Linked DNA regions of Rhinolophus ferrumequinum. The protein of the gene in region 3 purifies or fractionates together with the protein of the main gene of each other region. This does not show direct contact. Links are inferred from orthologs where the notes say so. Each region holds a gene or a part of one and is shown on either strand. Other genes may lie near its edges.

Region 1 (7,660 bases), on a different chromosome or scaffold from region 3:
TTCTGATTGGGTCCCAACCTTACTGGTTGTGATAAAGTTTTAGTATCACTCCTGCCTAAAACAATGTGAAAATAAATGTGAATGACATTACAAATGAAATAGAATAACTATGGGTTAGAAATTTAACTTCCAATTATGAATGCTGCACAACAAATTATCCTGAAACTTAGTGGCTTCAATAACAGTATTGCTCACGAGTCTACAATTTGGGCAGGACCGGGTGGGGCAGCTTGTCTCTGCTCCAGTTAGTGTTAGCTGGAGTGGCTTAAAGGCTGGTGTGATGGTTAATTTGATGTGCCAAAGGCTAGGCCAAGTGCCCAGATATTTGGTCAAATACCAGTCTAGATGTTGGTTTAAAGGTGTTTTTTTTTAGAGATTAACATTAAATCAGTAGACTTTGAGTAAAGCAGATTACCTGCCATATAGGTGGGCCTCGTCCAATCAGTTGAAGGCTTCAAGAGAACCAGACTGAGGTCCCACAAAGTGGGAATTCTGCCAGCAGACTGCCTTTGGACTCAACCTGCAACATCAACCATTCCCTGGGTCTCCAACCTGTTGGTCTCCCCTACGCTGGTTGCTGCTATTGTTTTGTCATTGGCTCTCACTCAAAAATTCCAACTTAATATCCCGTCACAGTCAAATACAGTTAAAATCTTCCTTCATAGATATTTCTATTCTCCTTTTGTCAGAGAGATTTCTCTGACTAATATTTCCTTGGCTTGTATGCTCACGCACACACACTCTCTCACACACAAATATTTATATAAAGATAAATGACTGTCCCTACTTTCTTGTTGAAGAAAGTTCTTATTGATAAATTTTAGTTTTTCCATAATTCTGCACATCAGAACACAAAAAAGCCCTAGAAAAATTCAAGATTAAGCCACAAGACTGAATCTAGAAAAAGAAAATAACCAGAAAACTCATCCCTAAATTTGGTGTTTCCATAGTTTGTTAGAATTGCATAGCTTGTTAGATTTGCAACCTGAATGGTTGAATTTATTATTGAAAAGGCAGTAGACAGGATTATAGATCAGATTTGGCATTTAGGCTTGACATTTAAATAGAAATGTCTTTAATCAATCCTGATACATAATTTTATTCAATTTACCTCAAATGGTGAGTGGTCTCATTACATTACCATAGCTACATCTCTCCATTTCTCAATTTGTTTTGTCTAGAGATCAATGTCAAATTTCACATTCTCAGGAGAGAAAACATGTAGCTATTCACCCAGAATTTAATTAAATTCAACAAACATTCAATTCAATTAAACAAATAGTGAGTGCCTACTATATGCCAGGCATCTGTTTAATTTATTTTAAAAATAGTAAAAATAACCAACATTTTTGAGCACCTACCATGTGCCAAGTACCATGCTATTTCCTTTACCTGTGTTCTTTCTTTTAATCCTCACAAAACCCTATGGAGTAGGTACTATTGTAATCTCTACTGTACAGATGTGGAAACTGAGGCACAAAGAAGTTAAGTACCTTGACTAAAATTATTTGATTCGATTCAGGCCCTTTTGACTCCAGAGTTCATGTTCATAATCCACTCTTAAGGAGATAAAGGGCTTTACAGTCTAAGGAATAAGGAAGTAGAAGATAAATGCAGAAGTATCAATAGTACATACAGCCCTAAGGGAGATACACAGCATTGTGGAGTCCAGGGGTGAAAGAGTACCTGCAAAGTATGAGCAGTCATGAAATTTTTCCTGTGGTAGATAGTTTGTGAGCTTGTACTTAAACAGTGTGGCAGAAATTGTGAACCAGGGGATATGTGGTTCAGGTTATGGAATAAAGTTCTAGAGGTAGGAATGAGCCGGCCGTGTCTGAGATCCAGTTTGACTCAAATTAGCATCCAGTTAGGGTAGGATTAATAGCCACTGCTTATTTCTATCTTTTATGTGCCAGGTTCTTGTCAGATGTTATTTCTAATTTTTAAGACAACCCTACAGGGTAGATATCGTTAGCCTTGATTTATAGACAATAAAATGGAGGTTTTTGAGGAGTCATAGGGCAAGTAAGTGACCGAGCCAAGATTTGAAGTCTTCCTGACACCACATCCCTGTCTTTTCTATGTTTTCATGCTGCGTTACTTCAGGGAGACAGAAAGCTAGGCTGGGGCCACATTGAGAAAGGTCTTGATGACTGAGGTGAGGAATTTTTACTTACGTTGTCAGGCAGAGGAGAGCAGGGACAAAACTCACTCTGAACTCTGGGAAGACAACCGCAATTCATTTGGGCAGTAGAAATGAGAGCCTGAATTAGAAGAATAGTGGTGCCTGCTGGTGGGAATGTAAATTGGTACGACCATGATGGAAAACAGTATGGAGGTTCCTCAAAAAATTAAGACTAGAGTTACCATATGACCCAGGAATCCCTCTTCTCGGTATCTGACTGAAAAATTTGAAAACATACGTAAAGAAATACGTACCCCTATGTTCACTGCATTATCCACAGTTGCCAAAACATGGAAATAACTGAAGTGTCCTTCAACAGATGATTAAAGAAGATGTGGTATATATATATACACACAATGGAATATCACTCAGCCATAAGAAAAAGATGAAATACTGCCATTTGCGACAACATAGATGGATACTGAGAATATCATGCTAAGTGAAACAATTCAGAAGGAAAAAGTTGAGAACCATATGATTTTATTCATAGGTGGGATATAATTTGGGAGCTGGAGGTGCTGGTGACTTCTGTATCTATGTGGAGGTGGGTAACAGACAAGTGGAGAGTTTAGTTAGAAGTTTGGGGCCAAGATCCAGTTATACAAAGAAAACTAGGAGTCCAAGTCATCGTAATCAACAAAAACCATAAAGTGCAGGAAAATCCAATCTTGGTGTCAACTAAGAAGTAGGAAAAAAAAAGGGACCCTATTTAACACCTATTATGTGCCTAGCACTGTGGAAACAATGGGAATGGTGACAAAACTTTTCTCATTAAGCTTCCAATCTTGTTCCAGAATTAATTACTCTCATGAAACAGTGAGCAAATAATATAACACTTGATATGCTCGAATGCTAATCTGTAGGGTATAGACAGTAAGAGTTATGGGATGTTGAAAAGGTGAGAGGTTGATATTTGGGACGTGAGGGAGAGGGCAGGAGTCAGCACAAAGCTTAATAAGATGGTGCATAGACTGATATGCAGGTAACAGTGCTCCCCATGTAGTGACAGGAACTTTTGGAGTTTTTTTCTATTGCCCAGGAAGTAGCATGGAGGTGGAAAAGTATCAACGGGCTTTGGAGTAAGGGAGACCTCAGCTCTTATACCTGCCGTTTACTGATGGTATAATACTGGGCAAATTACTTAACTTTTCAGAACCCATTTCCTCTTTTTAAAAAAGTGAGTATAATACTTAATAAGGTGGCTGTATAAATTCAGTAAAATAGCATGAAAAACATCGATCCCCACTGCTGTGCATAGAAAGGTTGGGGGAAAACCTAAATCATTCTTTCTTTATGTTGTTTTTCTTGCTACCACTTGCACCAGTGGAATACCCACATTGCCTGTTCTTCCCTCCAGCATACCTTCCTGGAGACACAGTACATATTTTTGTGCAGGATTTTTGTATGTCCATATATCTCCTATTCAGGCAAAGCCATAGGCCCTAACCAAAGAGGGGGCAGTTAGTGCCTTCTGCTTTTATTGATTTGATCTACTCAACAAGCGTTTATTGAGCACCTACAAAGTCCTAGTTACTATGCTAGGCCCCATTGGGGTATAGAGAGATAAAAAACACTTAAAAATCCTCAAAAGACTTACAAATGAGAAACAGTCGCGGGGTAAATAGCTATGGGACTTCAGAAGGTGGAAGAAAGTGATGGGTGGGGAGCTTGTACGCAGTGAACACCTAGCGGAAGGTGGCTTGATTTGCAGAAGAGCTGTCATTTATGCTACGTTAAGTCTTGACAGGTGATAGAATTCACCACGCGGAGATTGGGACAAGAGGATAAAGATATTAGGAGATACGCTGATCACTGAGAGATTCTCAAAGCACAGTTATATCCATGCCAGCTCCTAATGGGAGGAAACTCCGTTGTACTTGCTGAACAGAATTGTAAGCCTTGCGAATAAAACGGCCACAGTGACAGCAGTAGATAACAGCAGCAGCCGCAAAGCTGCAATCACTCTGAAACTGACTGGGGTAAAGAAGATGTATTTGCACAATTGGTGAAACATCGTAAACTCGGAGAAGCTGCAATTTCTAGACTTCGAGTTCATCTTCGCCAACGCCCCAGCTTGTTTTCTCGGCCGAGGGTGAAAGGCGCAGCCAGAAGGCCCAATTAGAATCAGGGGAAGAGGGCGGGGGAGGTCTCCGCTGCGGATCTACTTTGGCTCCTCCCCAGCCCTGCAAGGCTCAAACTTAGCCACACCAATCATGGCGCCCTCGAGGGTCCTCTCCTCCGTTTATGTCGCCTCACCTTTTGGACACACTCAACATGGCCCTAACCGAAGGTTGCATTCCTGTGGAACCATCTCGGGACAGTTCTCGCGAGGTTTGCCCGGGCCCCTACTGCTCCCGCCCTGCCTCGCGCCGCCGCCACCGCCACTGCTGCCGGCGCCGCTCCTCCTCCGTGTCAGTTGTTGGGCTGTAATGGCGACTGGGCCGCCGCTGCCGAAGTGACTCCCGGGCGGGGGAGTGGGGCCAGACCTGCGCCAGAGGGAACTGCAGAGAGCCGCCGCTGAGGGTCTGGCTTGCTGTGGGGGAGGAGAGGCAGCCTTTCCGCCTCTCCCTTCTTTGCAGACCCGCGGCTCCCGGGAGCCGGTGCGAAGCGGGCACCCGGGGCGTCCCCGGAGCGGGGAGGCCAGGCCGGGCAGCCCTGGGGCCGGTAGGGGCGGCGTCACTGCACCCTCCGCCAGGCCCCGCGGGATGCACCGTGGGAGCCGAGGGCGGAGGCGACACTCTCAGGTGAGCTGCGGGAGGACCTGGCTGGGACCGTGGACGCTCGCTTAGCCTCTGCTGCTTCTGTCCCTGGTCCCGGGTCCCCTCGGTGGCAGTGAGGGAGGCGGGGCGGGGCGCGGGGGCTCTGGCCCAGCCTGGCGTCCCCCTCGGCGAACCGCCGTGGGTCGTGAGGCTTGGCGGGGCTGGTCATCCTGAGACCTGGATTTGAAGTCCCACCCGTGCCTGCCGGAGACGGGATTTCCTTCCTTACCTGCCAATGCCTGCCCCCCACCCTCTTCTGCAAAAGATGTAAGCTGCCTCTCACCTTTGGTCTACGAAGTGTCTTTTAGAGATCAGGCATATTTGGGGAAATTCCGGGGAACTGGCTCCAGTGGCAAGGATGACTAGTTTCTGTTCCTTTTTGGTAGGGATAAACATTCTCAAGTATAGGAAAAACTTTGATCTTCTGCTCCAGTCTAGCAGCTACTGAATGCAGGCTACCGATTTATTAACAAATGATTTAAGGGGGAGATTTAAAAAGCTTTACGCTTTGAAAGTTGTCATTCCCTCCTTCCTCCCCCCCCCACCCCGCCCTCTCTTTAAATGTAGCCCAACACGCTAAATAATATTTGGCTAATGTTATAAATATGGGTTGGAATTCGGCTGGATTTTTAGTTTTCAGATAGGAAACTGCGCATAGGTATAGATTTTCATGTGGCTTTAGTGTAGTAGCAAAATCCTTCATAAAGGAAAAAACAGGTTGTCAGGAATAGTAATCAGTATCCATGTACTCCACCTGATTGTTTTGTTTTGATGGTGATCCTTGTTTTGAATTTGGAAAAGTCGTTAATGGTTGGTTCTGTTGCCATGTTAACGATGCCTCCTCCTGCCCTGTATTTTAAGGGTTTTAAAGGAAAGGCTATCTGAGGCAGAGGTAGTAACAACCTGAAAAAGGTTTGTGGAAGCAATGATAAAACATTGACAGCTGCTGCCCATTTCAGAAGTGTCTTAGTTTAAAATATTGTTGTTAGACCTGTGGTAGAAGTTGCTTCAAACCCATGGGCGTGCGAGTAGTAGTTTGTTTTGGTGTGCTAAATTGACAGATTCCAATGTAATAAAATAAATATGAACCATTGAACCCTCATTGCATTGAATTGAAGATACTTTAATCAGAAAGTAAACATCAAGCTAGAATACATTGTATGTGTTGATAAATACTTGTGTATCTCATCTTTTCATAGTAGCAGCACTGTAAGAATGATGGTTAAGTTATAATATGTAAACAATTTTGTACGTATGTGAAAGAATATCTCTGATTCTCGGAGATTACTTAGTGTGTAGTGTTATATAAGACCGTTCACACTTGAACAACAGGGTAATCAACTTATGAATTAGGAAGTTTTGAATTTTTTTCTGGTGCTTCTGATTGCCAATCTTTTGCCCAACACTTCTACCATATCATGGACAGAAGAAAGGAGATGAAGTTCCTGTCTAACCAACTTTATTATTTATTAAATTGCTCTGAGTTATAGAGGGAGCAAAAAAGAAGCTGCCGTCTAAAATAACTGACATCATTTTCTGGTGTGCTTCCACATACATTATTTTATTTAATCTTCATAGCAATTGGATGAAGTCGGTTTGGCAAATACCCTCATTTTGCAGTTGTGGAAATCGACACACAAGGAAGTTCATTTATTTATGTGAACACTGCTCTTATTCCTGCAGATGATTGAGAATAGTTTTTATTTTATTTATTTTTTATTGAGGTACAATTGACATATAACATTAGTTTCAGGCGTACAACATAATGATTCGATATTTACATATAATGTGAAATGATCACAATAAGTCTGATTAACATTCTAGAATTCGTTTTATCTTAAATCGAATATTATAGAGACTTCTGGCATTTGGTTTTTTTAAAATCTAAAAAAAATATTTTTGTTCCTTTTGACATGTCACTTGATCCTCATACTGATGATTTTCAGTTCTTTAAAAACATCAGTGTTTTTATAGCATTTTGAAATTTTTAACAAGTCGTGAATTATGATAATGGGTTGCTTTACTTCTATATGTACTTTTCGCTTGAAAAAATGTTCCTAACAATTGTAGTTAATTTGTCTCTCATTTTGTTTGGATGCTCATAGTTCTGTCATCTTTGGTACTTCAGATTATATACGCGTATACTCTCTTGTTATGTAAAAGGAATATTCAAGCCACCTGGTCAGTAGCATAACTGAAAAGTAGTAACATCTTGGTGATTTTATTGTAGAAACGATGGATAATTTAAAAAGTTAATTACACATGATTTGTATTTTTGCAGTGTGGGGCAAGTTGTGAAATAATTTTCTCCTTTTTTTGAAGATCTAATTGGCTTTAGTCAGCGATTCATGAATCGGGCAACACCCCATCTAGCAACTAGAAGGGCGCTCCCCAAATAATTTCCTTTACTTCTCCCCCCACGTCAAACAATTTCTAGTATCACAAATAGTCCAAAAACCTGATTAATCGAACGATTGCGTAGTTGTTTTCTGCACTAATATTTTTTTGGTTCATGATTATTACAAGGGTAACTTTATATTTACTAGTGGTTATTTTGGGTGATTATTTGCCTTTCTCATCTAGTCTGTAAGTTCTATGATGGGAGAGGTCCTCTATTAACTACTATGCACCCAGTGCCTAGCAATAAATATTGGTTGAATACGTTGACTAAATAAATACAGTCAATAAACAATGATTGAATACGTTGACTAAAGAG
Region 2 (7,052 bases), on a different chromosome or scaffold from region 3:
TTATTTCACTCTGGGATACTTTCCAATACACCACCCTGCCTCATTAGGGTTCTTTCCTTAAAATGTTCTTTATTGAAATCCCTCCTGATTCAAATAGCTGAACACCTGCCGCCACCTCTATTTCTTCAATCATGGCATACTATGGGTCTGCTCCCACAATGTGACTTTTTGTTTAAAATTCTCCAAACAACATTCTAAAGTTCTCCCATCCTATACATACATTAGCATACAGGCAACACTCCCCTGCTACTTTATTTTGCATCATATACTGGAAAGAATTAATTTGCTTGAAAGTGTGATAACTAAGACTAGAAGAATGATATATGCAAATAGCTTGCCTCTAGAGGAATAATGAGGGTCCTTGTTTTGCTGACTTTGTCTAATTCCTGGTATGATGTTAGTGGAGATGCCTAATCTAATATTCTGGTATTTGTTCATTATGGATTTTTTGCATAAATTTTGCAAAAATAACTGCATTAAAGCATTCATCTTGATTACTGAGTTTTGGGTGCCTCTTAAATTTTGCACCTCAGGAGAGTGGAAGTCTTTACACTACCCCTTTCCCTACCTGCAAGTAGATGACTGAAGTTCCACAATCTTCATCTCTGTTCATGTCTCCCACACATCTCTAACAGTAGCTAAATAAATCTGCATGCACAGCAAGTAACATCATGGGGCTCCTTCTACTGTGTTGTGTTATACTATCACTCAAACTTATGTAGATACTTTTGGGATTTTCAAATATACAAGCCTACATAAAAGCATTATATACCAGGATATTCACTGTAGCCTGAATAGAAGATCTGGAACAACCTCAACGTCCATTAGTAGGTGACTGGGTAACTATGTCATTCTTACAAAGAATATCATGCAGCTGTTCATGAGGAATCCCGCTGTTTTCACCTGCTCCCCCTCCCCCCAGCAGTGCTGGGCTGCATCGTGCTCACTCCCAGCTCCTGCTAAGCCAGTGCCACTGTTGTGTCTTTCCAGCCACCGTCGTGATGATCTACTGGGACCAAATCAGCCACGATGAGATGTTCTCCAACATCTACAAGATCCAGGAGACTGAGGATGGGCTGTGCCTGGAGGTGGAGGGGAAGATGGTCAGTAGAACAGAGGGTGATACTGATGACTCCCTCATTGGTGGAAATACCTCGGCTGAAGGCCTGGAGGGCGAAGGTCCTGAAAGCACAGTAGTCGCTTGTGTTGACATTGTCATGAACCATCATTAGCAGGAAGACAGCTTCACAAAAGAAGCCTACAAGAAGTACAAAATGATGAAATCCCTCAGAGGGAAACTTGAAGAACAGAGACCAGAAAGAGTAAAACCTTTTATGACAGGGGCTGCAGAACAAATCAAGTACATCCTTGCTAATTTCAAAAAACTACCAGTTCTTTATTGTTGAAAACCTGAATCCAGATGGCACGGTTGCTCTGTTGGACGACTGTGAGGATGGTGTGACCCCATAGGTGATTTTCTTTAAGGATGGTTTAGAAATGGAAAAATGTTAACAGAGTTGGCCATTGGGATCCATCACCTGTCATCATAACTAGCTGCTGCTTTTCATCCACTCCCCGGTCTAGAACAAATAGGACTGATGTTATCTTGAGCTGTTCCATTTATTTTCACCTTGATTTATTTGGAGTGGAGGCATTGTTTTTAAGACAATCATATCATGTAGATTGTCTAAAAATAAAATGCATTTAAACTCTTTTGAGAGAATGTCTCTTAGTTTAATACACATTTAAAACCATTCCTGTGTAGTGTTCCTGGAGAAGCTAGAGCCTGTTAGACCATTACTATAAAGTGTAAGACTGTCTTCAGATAACTTCTACAATGAAAACTACTGGGACTGGAATATAAAAAACAAGGATCAAAAGTCTAAATTCAGAGTTGAGTGAAGGGAAAGACCATGCTCACAGTAAACATTTCAAGTGGATTCCTTAGACATTTCATCACCTGCAAACGGAAGTAGTTAACTCTGGAAGAGATTACCAAAAGAATAAAAAGATATTAATACAATTGGGGACAAAAATGAGGAATCCACTTGCATTGATATTTTACAATCTCCAAGGTACTTTAACACACCCAACACTGTGTATTATAAATTGCCATTTTGTGAGGGGAAAATGCTTATATTTATGTATGTACAGAGGGTGCCAAAAAAAGTATACACATTTTAAGAAAGGAAAACTGTATTAAAATCATAATACTTAGTATATACCAATAACAAAAGATGAATACAAGTCACATTTGACCTCTGCAATTACAGGAGGGGCCCAAAGCAGTTACCATCAGTGTCCAAACACTTCTGATTAGGGCTAACTACTGCTTGAGTAATGTTGACCAAAGTGTCCACTTGTATACATTTTTTTGGCACCCCAGTATTTATTTCTAAATTCAGAAAGCATCTGGGAGAATTCAGAGCATCTAAAGGTTTAACTATGCTTGTTTGGAGGAAGTTATACCAGCAGGAAGAAGTCTTACTTTTATCATATACCCTTTGGTACCTTTTGAATTCTGAACAATTTTCATTATCTATAAAAATAAAAAACAAAACATTACTGAATACCTCGTACTTGGAGGGGTGGGGGAACTGGATGCTAGAAAACAATTGTAGATATTTTTTTCAGAATTTTTCTGTCTTCAGTGTCCTCTCAAAGGCTGGACAACACTGCTCAATCAAGTTTGAGTTTTCAAACTTGCCTTGAGGGTCTAAGGCCTCAGCAGTGAGTTTTGAGCCCAGAGGGTGAACTGACTTGCTTCTCCTCAAAGTCCACACCAATCCCACAGATTTCTAAAGGCATCTAGCACTTTCTCCCTTGCATTCTCCCTTGCATTGTATCTCTTCGTCTTCCCTAGACCTAAAACACCTAGGATACTAGGCAAGAATAAGAAACATCTAAACCTGTAGAGAATTATGAGTTTATTTATTTTTATGAGTTTATTTATGCTGGGAAGCAAAATCTCAATGGAGTGAGAAAATGCTCCGGAGAATGGCAGTTTCACAGCTTATTTTATACATTAGAATCAAAGGAGGCATAAGGAGGGTTACATGAAATCCATTGGTGGTCCATTAAGGAGGTGGAAGAAAGCATAGCAGAGAAATCTCTGGGATTCCATAAAAGGCAAAAGGAAGAAACACGCTTCTTACACTGGTGGGTACAGGATAGTAACATTTACAGCACACAGAGATGGTACCTGGGAAACAACATAATGAGGGGCTCTGTGGTCTTGTGCTCTGGTGCCAGCAGTTGTGCCTTTGGAAAAGAAAATTACTCGGACACTTCAAAGATACATTATCCTAGACGCCTACGCTATGGCTCGAGTTCCCTTAAGGTAAAGGCTAACCTTTGCTACGGAAGATGTAGGCCGACCTGCTATTACCTGCCCAGTTAGGAATTTGTGATCAGACAATCTTGGGTGGTTACTTTTCATCACTGAGTTTGTCAGGACTGCACGTGGCCCCGCTGAGCCTGTCAAGTTTATTACATAACCCTTTTCCATTCACAATCCTAGTCAGATTCACTACAGTAGCCCCACATGACCTAGAACACTAACAAGCACATAGGATGCAGTCAAGAAAACTGGTGACAGGGACAAAAGAAGGGCAGGAAACAAAGCAAACTCCGGAGGGAGGGAGGCCACTGTACAACCTGCGGTCAGAGACCTCCAGGAAGGAGCGCCAGCTCTCTAGTCACCCAAGAGGCGGACGGGCGCGCGGCCCACAGCCCCAACCTCCCGCTGAGCGGGACTCGGTCGGCCCCCGCTATGTCCTCAGGGCTCGGTTAGCAAAGCCAGCGAGGACACCGGAAGCTCGGGAGCCCTTACCGCTCGAGAACACGCTCCCCGCCTCCCTGCGCAATGGCGCCGAAGCCCGGGAGTGAGGGGCGGGGCCGCAGGCGGCCGGCCATGCGACCAAGACCCAATGAGCGGCGCCGGCCGACCGGCGGCCCAATGAGGGCGGCGCGTGGGCACGCTGGGGGCGGGCAGGGCGCGCCCGACTTTTCCAGAAGACCCGGATAGCGCCGCTGGGCCACGCTGAGCCGGCTGTGGGCGATCTTCACGCCTGCTGTTTTCTTTTTCTGCTGCTGGGTCAGTTATGGCGGCTGTGAAGACCCTAAATCCCAAGGCCGAGGTGGCCCGAGCCCAGGCTGCGTTGGCGGTCAACATCAGCGCGGCCCGGGGGCTGCAGGACGTGCTGCGGACCAACTTGGGGCCTAAGGGCACCATGAAGATGTAAGGCGGGGCTGGTGGGGGAGGGCCGGGCGGGCACCGCGCACCTCGTGTGGCCGCGATGCCGGCAGTCGTGGTCTCCAGCCCGCTGCTTCCGGGCCTGTGCGCCCGTTGCTTCTCCCCTTTTACCCCCGTTCCCATGTCAGGCCTGTTTCCTGCCCCGGCTGTTTTCTCTTGTAGTCGATGCATCCTTCGCAGAGAACAAAGCTGCCCTCGTGCGCGGATCTCTGGGACTAAAGCGACCCTGAGGACGCGCGGCACACTGTTTCTCAGAAGGGAGGGGGTGGGCACTGCGCCATTCCTGTTAACCGGGAGTGGACGACCAACTTAATGGCCGCGTGCGGCTTCTTAGGATCTGGGTAAAGCGTGGTGTCGATGGGAGTCAGTTTGGTCTCCGTTGAAAAAGTCACATTGATTTCGTTTCTGCTCATTGAACAGGCTTGTTTCTGGTGCTGGAGATATCAAGCTTACTAAGGATGGCAACGTGCTGCTTCATGAAATGGTGAGAGGCTGCTATACGTTTAAAAGGTCTTGGTTTGCATTGGAGGTTTAATTTGTAGGGAGATGTTTAATGTTTATTCTCAAGGTAGGAGGAAATCATATTCATCACCTCTCAACAGGCCAGTCTTACAGACAATGGAGAGAGTAGGAAAGTAGTCTAATCAGTAATGGTAGCCACAGTATGTTACAGTGAGGAGCCCTGGAGTCTGATACTTATTTATGAATAAGACAAAGGTCTTGTCATTTAAGGCCTTTAAAGGATTGAAATTATTAAGATTCTAATCTGAAAACCAAGCAGTTGACACATTCACATAGGCAGAATGAGACAGGTTGTTTGTACTTTGTCTCTTTAAAACAGCAATTTCTCTGTTACCTGTCATCTCTTCCATCTTCAACTGGAGGGGAGATAAAACGCCTTGCTTAACCATTTTAAAAGTCCTGTGACCAAGAATCTGAGATTATTGAGAGGATCAAAAATTTTACACATCCATAAGTTCCCAAAACTTAGCAGTTCAAATCCAAGAAAAGGAAATGACTTGCCTGTGTTTTGAGTTAAGAATAAAATGTAGGGCTTTGATAGTAGGGTACCATGCCTTCAGCATCCAAATGTAATCAGTGGCCTGTGCTGGCTGAGAACACTTGGAGTCATAGTTGAAACTTAATATCAGAAAAGACGTAGCTACATGGTTTTTTTTTTTATTTTACTTGATTTTTTAAATTGTGAAATACAGCATAAACATAGAGAAGCACATTAAACATTTATAGCTTAACAAGAAACTGTAAAGGAAACAGAAGTATACAGTGTCACCTCTGTGTTGGTCTTGCCAAAAATAGCAAATGTAGATAATGAGATAGTCTACAAGGTAATTGGGCTGGATTCTTAAAACTGTCAATGTCCCCAACGATCTGAAGATTAAAGGGTAAAAAGCAAAAGCAGTGCAGGAGCCTTGTTTGAATCCTTTCTCATTAAGAATCTGTGCGTGATATTGGAGACTTGAAGAATACCCTGTTCTTCCAAAGCCTTCCCATGCAGTGATTTAGCATCCACTGATGACCTTTGCTAGGAGGGCTATTTCTTTTTAATTGTTTGATGCCGAATAATATTGGAGGCTGCTAAACTTTTATTTTAGAAGTTACCTGATTTATTCCCACCAAAAGCCCTTAATTGAGCGTCAAATTTCCTTATCAATAAAGTGGAGATAATCTTGAGAAATATATACATGACAATATTTTGGTCGTCAGAAACAATGCAAAATAGCTAATGGTGACTTCTTAATCAAAATAATATGTAGCTGAACACTTGGGTAATTTGTGCAAATACATAGCATTTAAGGATGCCGTTCACATTTTAAGGTATATTTGTATTGTTTCAAGTTACTTAATTTTTTTTTCCTTTTTCTACTTTCAGCAAATTCAACACCCAACAGCCTCCTTAATAGCCAAAGTAGCAACAGCCCAGGATGACATAACTGGTGATGGTACCACTTCCAATGTCCTAATCATTGGAGAACTGCTGAAACAGGCGGATCTGTACATTTCTGAAGTATTACATGATTCTTACGTGTTTCTGTGATACTTTATTGTGTATAGAAAATAATCTGAGTTTTATTTATACAAATTGATGTGTTAGTAGTAGCTGAGGCTATATATAGTAGAATGTGAAGAGCATAGCGGCTTAAATCTGGGAACCAGAGTCTTTATCTTGGTCTCACACAAATTAATTGTGATCCTAGACAAGTTAAAGATCCTTCCTGGGCCCTGAAGGTTTCTTATTTTATCAAGTTGCATTGCATGTATGACATATGTCTGTCTATAATGTAGACTAATAATTGAAATCAGGACTAGGCATATTTATAAGGAAAAAGCCAACCAAAAACGGACTTAAGAATTCTACAACTTTTTTTAGCCCTGAGTAGGTCCAAAGTTAAAGCAAACCTTAATAAATACTAATCTGATGTCAAGAAAAACTTCTTAGGAAGGCAGGAGGCAGACTCTTAGTCTCCCTGTCTACTTTTTCTTGGTAAATGATAATGAATTAATTTCAGATTACCTATAGAAAAGATATAATGGTCCTATTGACTGCAGGTTGTTGTGACACTTGAGTTTTTGTCATTATTCCTTGTAGTTTGCACAGTGAACACCCAAGTGTGCTTTATAGTTCCCTTGGCTTTGACTCTGTGCTAGAGCAATGTCTGTTCTTCTCCTCTGCATTGAAAGGACTATTTATCCTTTTAAATGTATTCAGAAAGTCAGCACATTATATTAATTGTATTAAAGGGTCTAAATGATCTAGAATAAATCTTCAGAAATGTAC
Region 3 (7,125 bases):
TGGTCTAGCATCAGTAAGATAATCTGTCACTGTGGAGCCTCTCCATCCTTTCTGAAGAGGTGGGGAAATATGTACAAAACAATCAATGACTGCTTATCAAAGATTTACAAGAGCCTCACGACCAAATTCAGATCAGCACGGGTCAGTGGATCTACTGGGAACAGAGATTTAGAGATTTCAAGCTCTTCCTTGGATCCCTGTTGGTGCATACTTGTCTACAGTCCTCACCCACCTCTTGCCCCACCCTCCTCCCCTTGAATTTGGGATGCTTTTAAGATAGATTTGCAAAAGTGTTAAGGTCCCCATATTTTCTAGCTAATGCCTTCTCGATCAATAAACTTTTCCTTATTCCAAACCCTGACGTTTATGACTATTGGACTGTGAAGTGTCGGGCGCACAAAACTTGAATCGGTAACAGAACTACTTAGAAGCCAAACACTAAACATCGTAATGATCACCATTTAGTGAAAAGTTAGAACCAATGAAATGTATAGCACAATACCAATATATATGCACATGAAACACAATACTATATATTTTACATGGATAATTTAGGATATATGCCCAATACATTGGAGGATGCTTTTCCAGAGAGATGAGATAGTATATTAAGGATGAAGGGGGAAAACAAGGATTTTTGCACAGACATCTTGATAATGTGCCTTTGAATAAGAGGATTGATTATACCAGTGTGTCTGAGATCCAAAAAAGGGGGGAGTTAATTTGCATACCAAACTATGAAAGGATATAAATTATATCCATGCATTTTAAAAATTATCATGTAACTATCGCAACTTAAAATTTAACTTTATAAAAAGTGTTACGATGACAATAAGCTAGATATAGTGCTAACCAAGACTCTAAATGTCTTAAGCTCAATTGTCAAAAGATGTATTAAGTTGCATCCCTGCTACAGACCTAGGGGACTATTCACAAGTAAGCCAGGCAGAGTAATATGGTTTTGGAGAAAAAGGAAAAAAAAAAAACAAGCTAGAAATGAAATTAAAAATACACTGAGATATCATTTCTCACCTATCAGATGGGCACAATTTTAAAAGCTGACCATGTACCATGTTGGAGAAGTTGTGGGGAAACAGACACTCTCATACATTGCTTGTGGGAATGTTAAGTTGTACAATGTCTATTGAAACCATATACGCTTTTACTCTCTGACCCAGTAACCCTACTTCCAGGAATTTATCCTGATAATAAATCTTCAATAATATAAAAATATAAATGTATTATTTGTAATTGCAAAGTCCTGGTAATTACCTAAGGGCCCACTTAGCTATAACTGAGTAAACTACGTTACGTACACCAGTGGAGGACTATGTAGTTGTAAACAGATGAGGACAATTCCTATGAACCAATGAGTGTTTTCTGTGAAATATTTCACTGAGAAAAGCAGAGTACAAAAGAAGACCTAGAATATGTTACCTTTTACATGAGAAAGAAGGGGAAATATATATGCATGTTTTTGCATAAAATAACTCAGGAATAAAACAAAACAATGAAGCTGGTTACCTACAAAGAGTAGAGAACAGGGAGAAAGGAATAAGTGAAAGAATGACATTTTCCTGCATTCACCTTTTTGGATAAATTTTACTGTTGGAAGCTTGGATAATGTTCTACATACCAAGAAAATTAAATTAATAAGGATGGGAGTAACAAACTATATGCAAGCAGAAACAAATTTAACTCTTAAATGAATACTATCACCGCACACTGAAATGAAGGGAAGAGAGAAACCAAATTAAAGTAACTTGAACACAGCTATGAACCCTCATTTTCAGGGGATTTGATTAAATATAAGATGTCATTAATTGTAAGATGAGACTCAATTTCAGAGATGTTAAACTGAAGGGGAAAAAAATGGTATCTTAGAATCCATGGACTATGGTATAATATGGGAAAGTGAAAATTAGAATTAAATCAATAATCTAGATAACTCAAGAATATTAGAGTAAGCACCAAATGTTTCTTTAGGGTGTCAGGGTAAGGGCTTTTCTGAGGTTTATGATAATATATGAAAGTACATGTATATTAGGGGAATGACAATTATTGCTTAATTGGCACAGAGTTTAGGATTATGAAAAAGTTCTGGAAAGCATAGTTATGAGAGTTGTTCAACATTGTGAATGTCTCTGATGCCTTGAATTGCATGTTTGAAAGTGGATAAAATAGTAAATTTTATGTTTTACCACAATAAGAAAAATCACCAAAAAAAGTATTGCACGATTTTAGTAGAAAATTACAGTAAATTATATATTCCTCTTATATATGTATATAAAATACATAACATAGTCATGGAATCTGGGGGCCGAGCCTTTTTAAACAGCATTAAACAAAATTATTGACAGGACTGATGACAATATAGCAGAGAGGTTCAAGAGCATAGGCTCTGGCTACCTGGCTTCATTTTCCAGCTCCGTCTGAGTGACCTTGGGCCAGTCACTTATCTTCTCTACCTCACTATCCTCATTTGGTTAATTGAAACAATAATAAAAGCACCTACTTCATAGGGTTGTAATAAAGGGACTAAATGAGATACTCAGAAAATACCACTCATGTTCATTCTGAGCTTTCCAGGCTTAGCTGAAATCCAGCCTCCTTTAGTTCTTTATAGACGAACCTCTTCAGAGACTGCAATTTCTCTCACAATCATACAGGTACCCTTTCTCTGCAGTAGCATTTCATCACCTTTTCATCTTTTGTCCTTAGTTGGTTTGCTACTATATACAAGGCACTTAAGAGCAGGAGCTCTTCCAGCCTTATTTCCCACTCTATGACCTATTTCTATGGATGGGCATATTTATAACTTTCCACACGTGTGTGGTCTTTCACACATTTGTCCTCTGCCACAAAACAAATTCCTTAGAACGTCTTCTACTCCAGGCAACTTCAAGGTTTTGCCTAGGGAGAAGTTTCAAAATTCAGTTCAAATCCACCTTTCTAAAGTTTTTTCTAACTGTTGCCTAGAAGGGATAAGCAACTATTAGATTGCTCAAATACTGTACTATTGGATAGGCACTTGTAAAAATTTAATCTTCACAAACTGAAAAAGTAGGCCTTACTGAGCCCTTTTAACAGATGAGGACTTGGAGGCTTGGGGAGATTTGGTGGTTGTCCAAGAAAGAACACAGCTACACAGTTGGCAAAACCAAGATTGAAACCTTTGCCTTCTGATACTGGATGTTGCCTCCCTCTTGGGTTCAGCGGCAACAAGAGGAAATATGCTCTTCCAGGGAACTGGCAGTTAGCAGTCGCTCGATAAATACTTGGCGAATGAACAAATTATTAGAACATTGCATAAACACTGCGGCAAACGCAGTGTATAATACTGGAGCTGGAAGGGACACAGATAAATATAATACACAACGATCATCTCATCTTTCTGATGCTGAAAGGGTAGATTCGAGATGTTAGGGCCCCACACCTAGTTAATGGCAGAGACAAGGCTAGAAAGCATTCACTTACTCAATAAATATTGAATGCCTGTTGGGAGAGTGCTAGACTCTGGGGAGACAGTGTTGTTGAGGAAAGGCACAAGCTTCCCCAATCCCTTTGCAGAGCGCTGAAAAAGCACTGCAGGAGACCAAGGTGGGGACAAGGTTCCCAGAGAAAACGATGTGAAGAAAGAACCAGGCGAGCTGGGTCTGCACCCGAAGTGAGGAAGAACAAAGAAAAGAAGAGGGAGAAAGCGGTGGAATCTTTGGCTCTTTCGGACCGTTTCTCCGCCGAGCCACGCGGGGGCGCAGCAGCCTTCCTCGGGTCCTTTGCCTGCTCGCCTTTCTCTCGGCGGAAATGCCCAGGCGATGACGGAAACCCGGAGGGAGGGGACAGAGAGAGCGAGGGGACAGAAAGGGCCAGAGAGCCGGGAGAGGCCTGCCGGGGAGAGGCGGCGGCGGGTGGCCATCGTCAGGAGGGAGCTGCACCGAAGACCCGCGCCGCGCTCCCCCACACCTCCCCGCGCCTCCCAGCGACACCCGGGGCGCGCGGCCGGGCGGGCAAGAGCGGCCGGGGGTCTCCTGGAGGCCGCGCTCCCGGAGCCGCCCGCTGGGCTTGGGCGGGGCGCGGGGCCGGCGGCCGCGCTCCCCGGCTCCTTCTCCCGCTGGGAGCTGGCGGCGGCGGCGGCGGGAGAGGGGAGCGGCGCCCGGGGCGGGCGAGGGTGGGGCGGGGAGGGGGGAGGGCAGCGGCGGGGCCGGGGATCCGGCAGCCATGGACGACAAGGCATTCACCAAGGAGCTGGACCAGTGGGTCGAGCAGCTGAACGAGTGTAAACAGCTGAACGAGAACCAAGTGCGGACGCTCTGCGAAAAGGTAAGAGAGAAAAGAGAAATGCGGGAGCGGGGGGCTGATTGGAGCGGGCGGCGGCCCCTCTCCTCCCCGGGCCGTCCACTCTGTGACCCGCGGGGCCCAGCCCGTCCAAAATCCGGGGCGTTGAGCTGGCCTCTCCGGGTACCTCTGCCTCCCCGGCGGATGCTCACGTTACTGGCCTCGGGTCCTTGTAGACGGGCAGGAGAAACGTGGCACCTGGAATCCACTTTCTGTGTTTTTGGGAGTCACTGACATTCTTCTGGGGAGTTACACTCCAGTATTTCCCGTGTGGACTAGCAATCTCGGCGCTTGCTAGTCCACACGCCGGCCAGTTATTCTAATACCATCTCTTATCAGAAAATGCATCGGGAGCATCTGAGATCTTTCTTCTTGGCAATGTTGTCAGTTTGGCTCCAATAAAATCTTATAAAAATTTTTTTAAAATGCACCGAAAACCAACCTGGATGTTGCTAATGTTAACGAACTTGTTATAAATGGGAGCTTTTTTCGCAGGTGAATGGGCCTTTCAAAAATCGCTAATTTGGAATGTGTCAAGCATTTGTAGAGAGGTGGGTGTGATGGCAGACTGTGATTTCTAAAATAGAGGTTGACTTTGACTTTAGTTGTAACAGATGGTGACTGGTCTTCCCATAGAGAGACTCTTGGAAGCAAAATGTTGATTTTCAGAAAGACAGCAAATCTTAAGTTTGGAAACAGTGCTTTCTTGAAATATAAATGGGTTACGTGTTTTTCGTGTAGGGTAGCACTTTTCAGAAAATCCTTTCCGTTTCTATTATATATAAAGGGTTTTTTTTTTTCCCTGTGCCAAAGAGTAATAAAATATGCAGGTGGTTAACTGTTTACAGTCATTCTTGATTGTGTGATCTTAGACAACTTTCTGAATTTTGTATCTATTGTTTCCTTACCCGCTGGAATTATTTTGCACTCTCTATCTTAGTTACTTTAAAATCTAGAGCTTTTCTCACTCGTCTTTTATAATCTTGGACTAAATAATTTTGACACATTTTTACATAAAAATTCCTCAGTGAAGGAGTAAGGAGATTATTTCTTCTTTAATGCTGTTGGGTTGGTTTGTATTTTTAGACTTGATCATTTTGTTTGGAAGTCAGGATGCCTCAGAAACACATTGGAGAACAAAAGATTTTGTCAGTGTTGTTAATAGGGGACTCAAAATTAAGCAATTTACTTAGGGATGGAGGAGTAATAACTAATATTAAGTGAAAGTAGTGTTTTTAACAAGTGTAATGTTGTATAGGGCCTTAATATGTAAAATTTGGTAACAGAATTTATTTCTGTAGGTAGAACTGCCAAGGCAAGTGGTATTTTTCTCTTTTCTGAAACAGACTATTTGCTTATAATTTCAAGAAGATATTCGTTTTTCTTGTGTGATAACCTATAATTTCATGAGTCTTCAAATTTATGTTTTAAATCTTTCTCTCTCAATATTTCTCTCTCTAGTGTCAAGTGAAATACCCAGTTTTGAAATTAGCTGAGTCAGTTACCCTCACTGTGAACATTACATATAGTCTTGAAATTATGGACAAAGGTGGGAGTTGAATTCGTTTTCCGTTTGACTAATAATTTTAAGATGTATTCCTAGAGAATAATATTGTATCACTACTCAATCACACTTGAGTCTTAATCATGTGAGGAAATTTTCTGTATTTGTCAAGAGAGATTAGTTTTTACTTCAGCTCCTGAATAACTTGGACTACCAGTCCCTAGGATCTTGTAGGTATATTTAAGCTTAGATCTTACCCACTTTTTTCTTTGAATATTTGTACTTATGCACTAAACACGAGTTTGTAAGTGAAAATCCCCCTTTATCATTGTCCTCCACCCCTTTGATGGAGTTGCCAATGGATGGAGTCCAGTAATAGTATTTCTCTCTACTCTTCTGAGCACTGCTTAGTTTTTCAGCCCTCTTCCAGCAACTGTGGCATCCCTTTGTGGTATGTATACATATTTTACCTGCTAACCTTAATCTCTGGTTCTATTTTATATCTCTGCCCCATCCTCCTTTTTCCTGACAAGTGTAGTGTTTATGTATCAGGGACTGGAGTAGTCAGCCAGAGTTCCACAACTTGATAGCTGCTGCCTCTTTGCACCTCTTATTCCATACCTGTGAGACAGGGATAATACTTGCCCATCTCCTGGGTTGGTTGTGAATATTAAGATATTACCTGTGTAAAATCCTGGGGCACTCAATGAATGTTAAATGAAGAGAAACTAAAACTAAAAATAACCATTTAACCGACTTTGCTTTAAAGTTGTCTGTTGAAATTCGTTTGTTTTTGTTTGGTTCATCCAGTTCCCTTATATGTGGGGTCAAATACTTTATTTTAGAAATGACTAAATTAGCTTAAAATCTTAAAGAGCTTTTAACAAATTATGTTCTTATATCTGTGTCTGATTCTGGCTCTTGCATAAGTGACAGTGTGTTGAACGTGCTGTGGGAGATGCTGGGAAATTATATAACGTATGTACACATTGTTGTATTATACATTAGATTTGGTATAAAAGAAAGGACCTAAGAAATGCAAAAAAAAAAAAAATAGCTCTTGTATCTTGTTTTAAATCTGTCACCCCATTTTCTTTTAGAAAAAGATGCAGAATAAATAGATGGGTTGTTAAGACTCTCTCTGGTGAATGTACTTCAAAAGAGGTTTTCTGTATAGTGGCTAGGGAATCCTGAAAAATAGTTTCAGTATTTCTTGTGATCCCTGTTATCTGAAGCACAGAGTACTGGGATTAGTAGTAATTGTGTGAAGTAACTTTACTCCTCCT

The links. Proteins that work in one complex are often made in the same cells at the same time.
Region 1: the proteins of PPP2CB (region 3) and CEP350 purify together in Homo sapiens (affinity purification with mass spectrometry; 3 studies listed by BioGRID and IntAct, counting the BioPlex papers as one, with this or other methods). This does not show direct contact. The link is inferred for Rhinolophus ferrumequinum from reciprocal best matches to the Homo sapiens genes PPP2CB and CEP350.
Region 2: the proteins of PPP2CB (region 3) and CCT6A purify together in Homo sapiens (affinity purification with mass spectrometry; 4 studies listed by BioGRID and IntAct, with this or other methods). This does not show direct contact. The link is inferred for Rhinolophus ferrumequinum from reciprocal best matches to the Homo sapiens genes PPP2CB and CCT6A.

What each region holds. Positions count from the first base shown.
Region 1 is NC_046305.1:12,654,079-12,661,738, forward strand, and holds the start of CEP350 (centrosome-associated protein 350), read left to right. Parts: upstream 1-4,571; 5' UTR 4,572-4,929; intron 4,930-7,660. UniProt on the Homo sapiens protein: Plays an essential role in centriole growth by stabilizing a procentriolar seed composed of at least, SASS6 and CPAP. Required for anchoring microtubules to the centrosomes and for the integrity of the microtubule network.
Region 2 is NC_046290.1:99,864,893-99,871,944, reverse strand, and holds the start of CCT6A (T-complex protein 1 subunit zeta), read left to right. Parts: upstream 1-3,963; 5' UTR 3,964-4,103; coding exon 4,104-4,240; intron 4,241-4,675; coding exon 4,676-4,739; intron 4,740-6,146; coding exon 6,147-6,281; intron 6,282-6,864; exon of another isoform or gene 6,865-6,998; intron 6,999-7,052. UniProt on the Homo sapiens protein: Component of the chaperonin-containing T-complex (TRiC), a molecular chaperone complex that assists the folding of actin, tubulin and other proteins upon ATP hydrolysis.
Region 3 is NC_046287.1:66,957,065-66,964,189, forward strand, and holds the start of PPP2CB (serine/threonine-protein phosphatase 2A catalytic subunit beta isoform), read left to right. Parts: upstream 1-4,078; 5' UTR 4,079-4,218; coding exon 4,219-4,320; intron 4,321-7,125.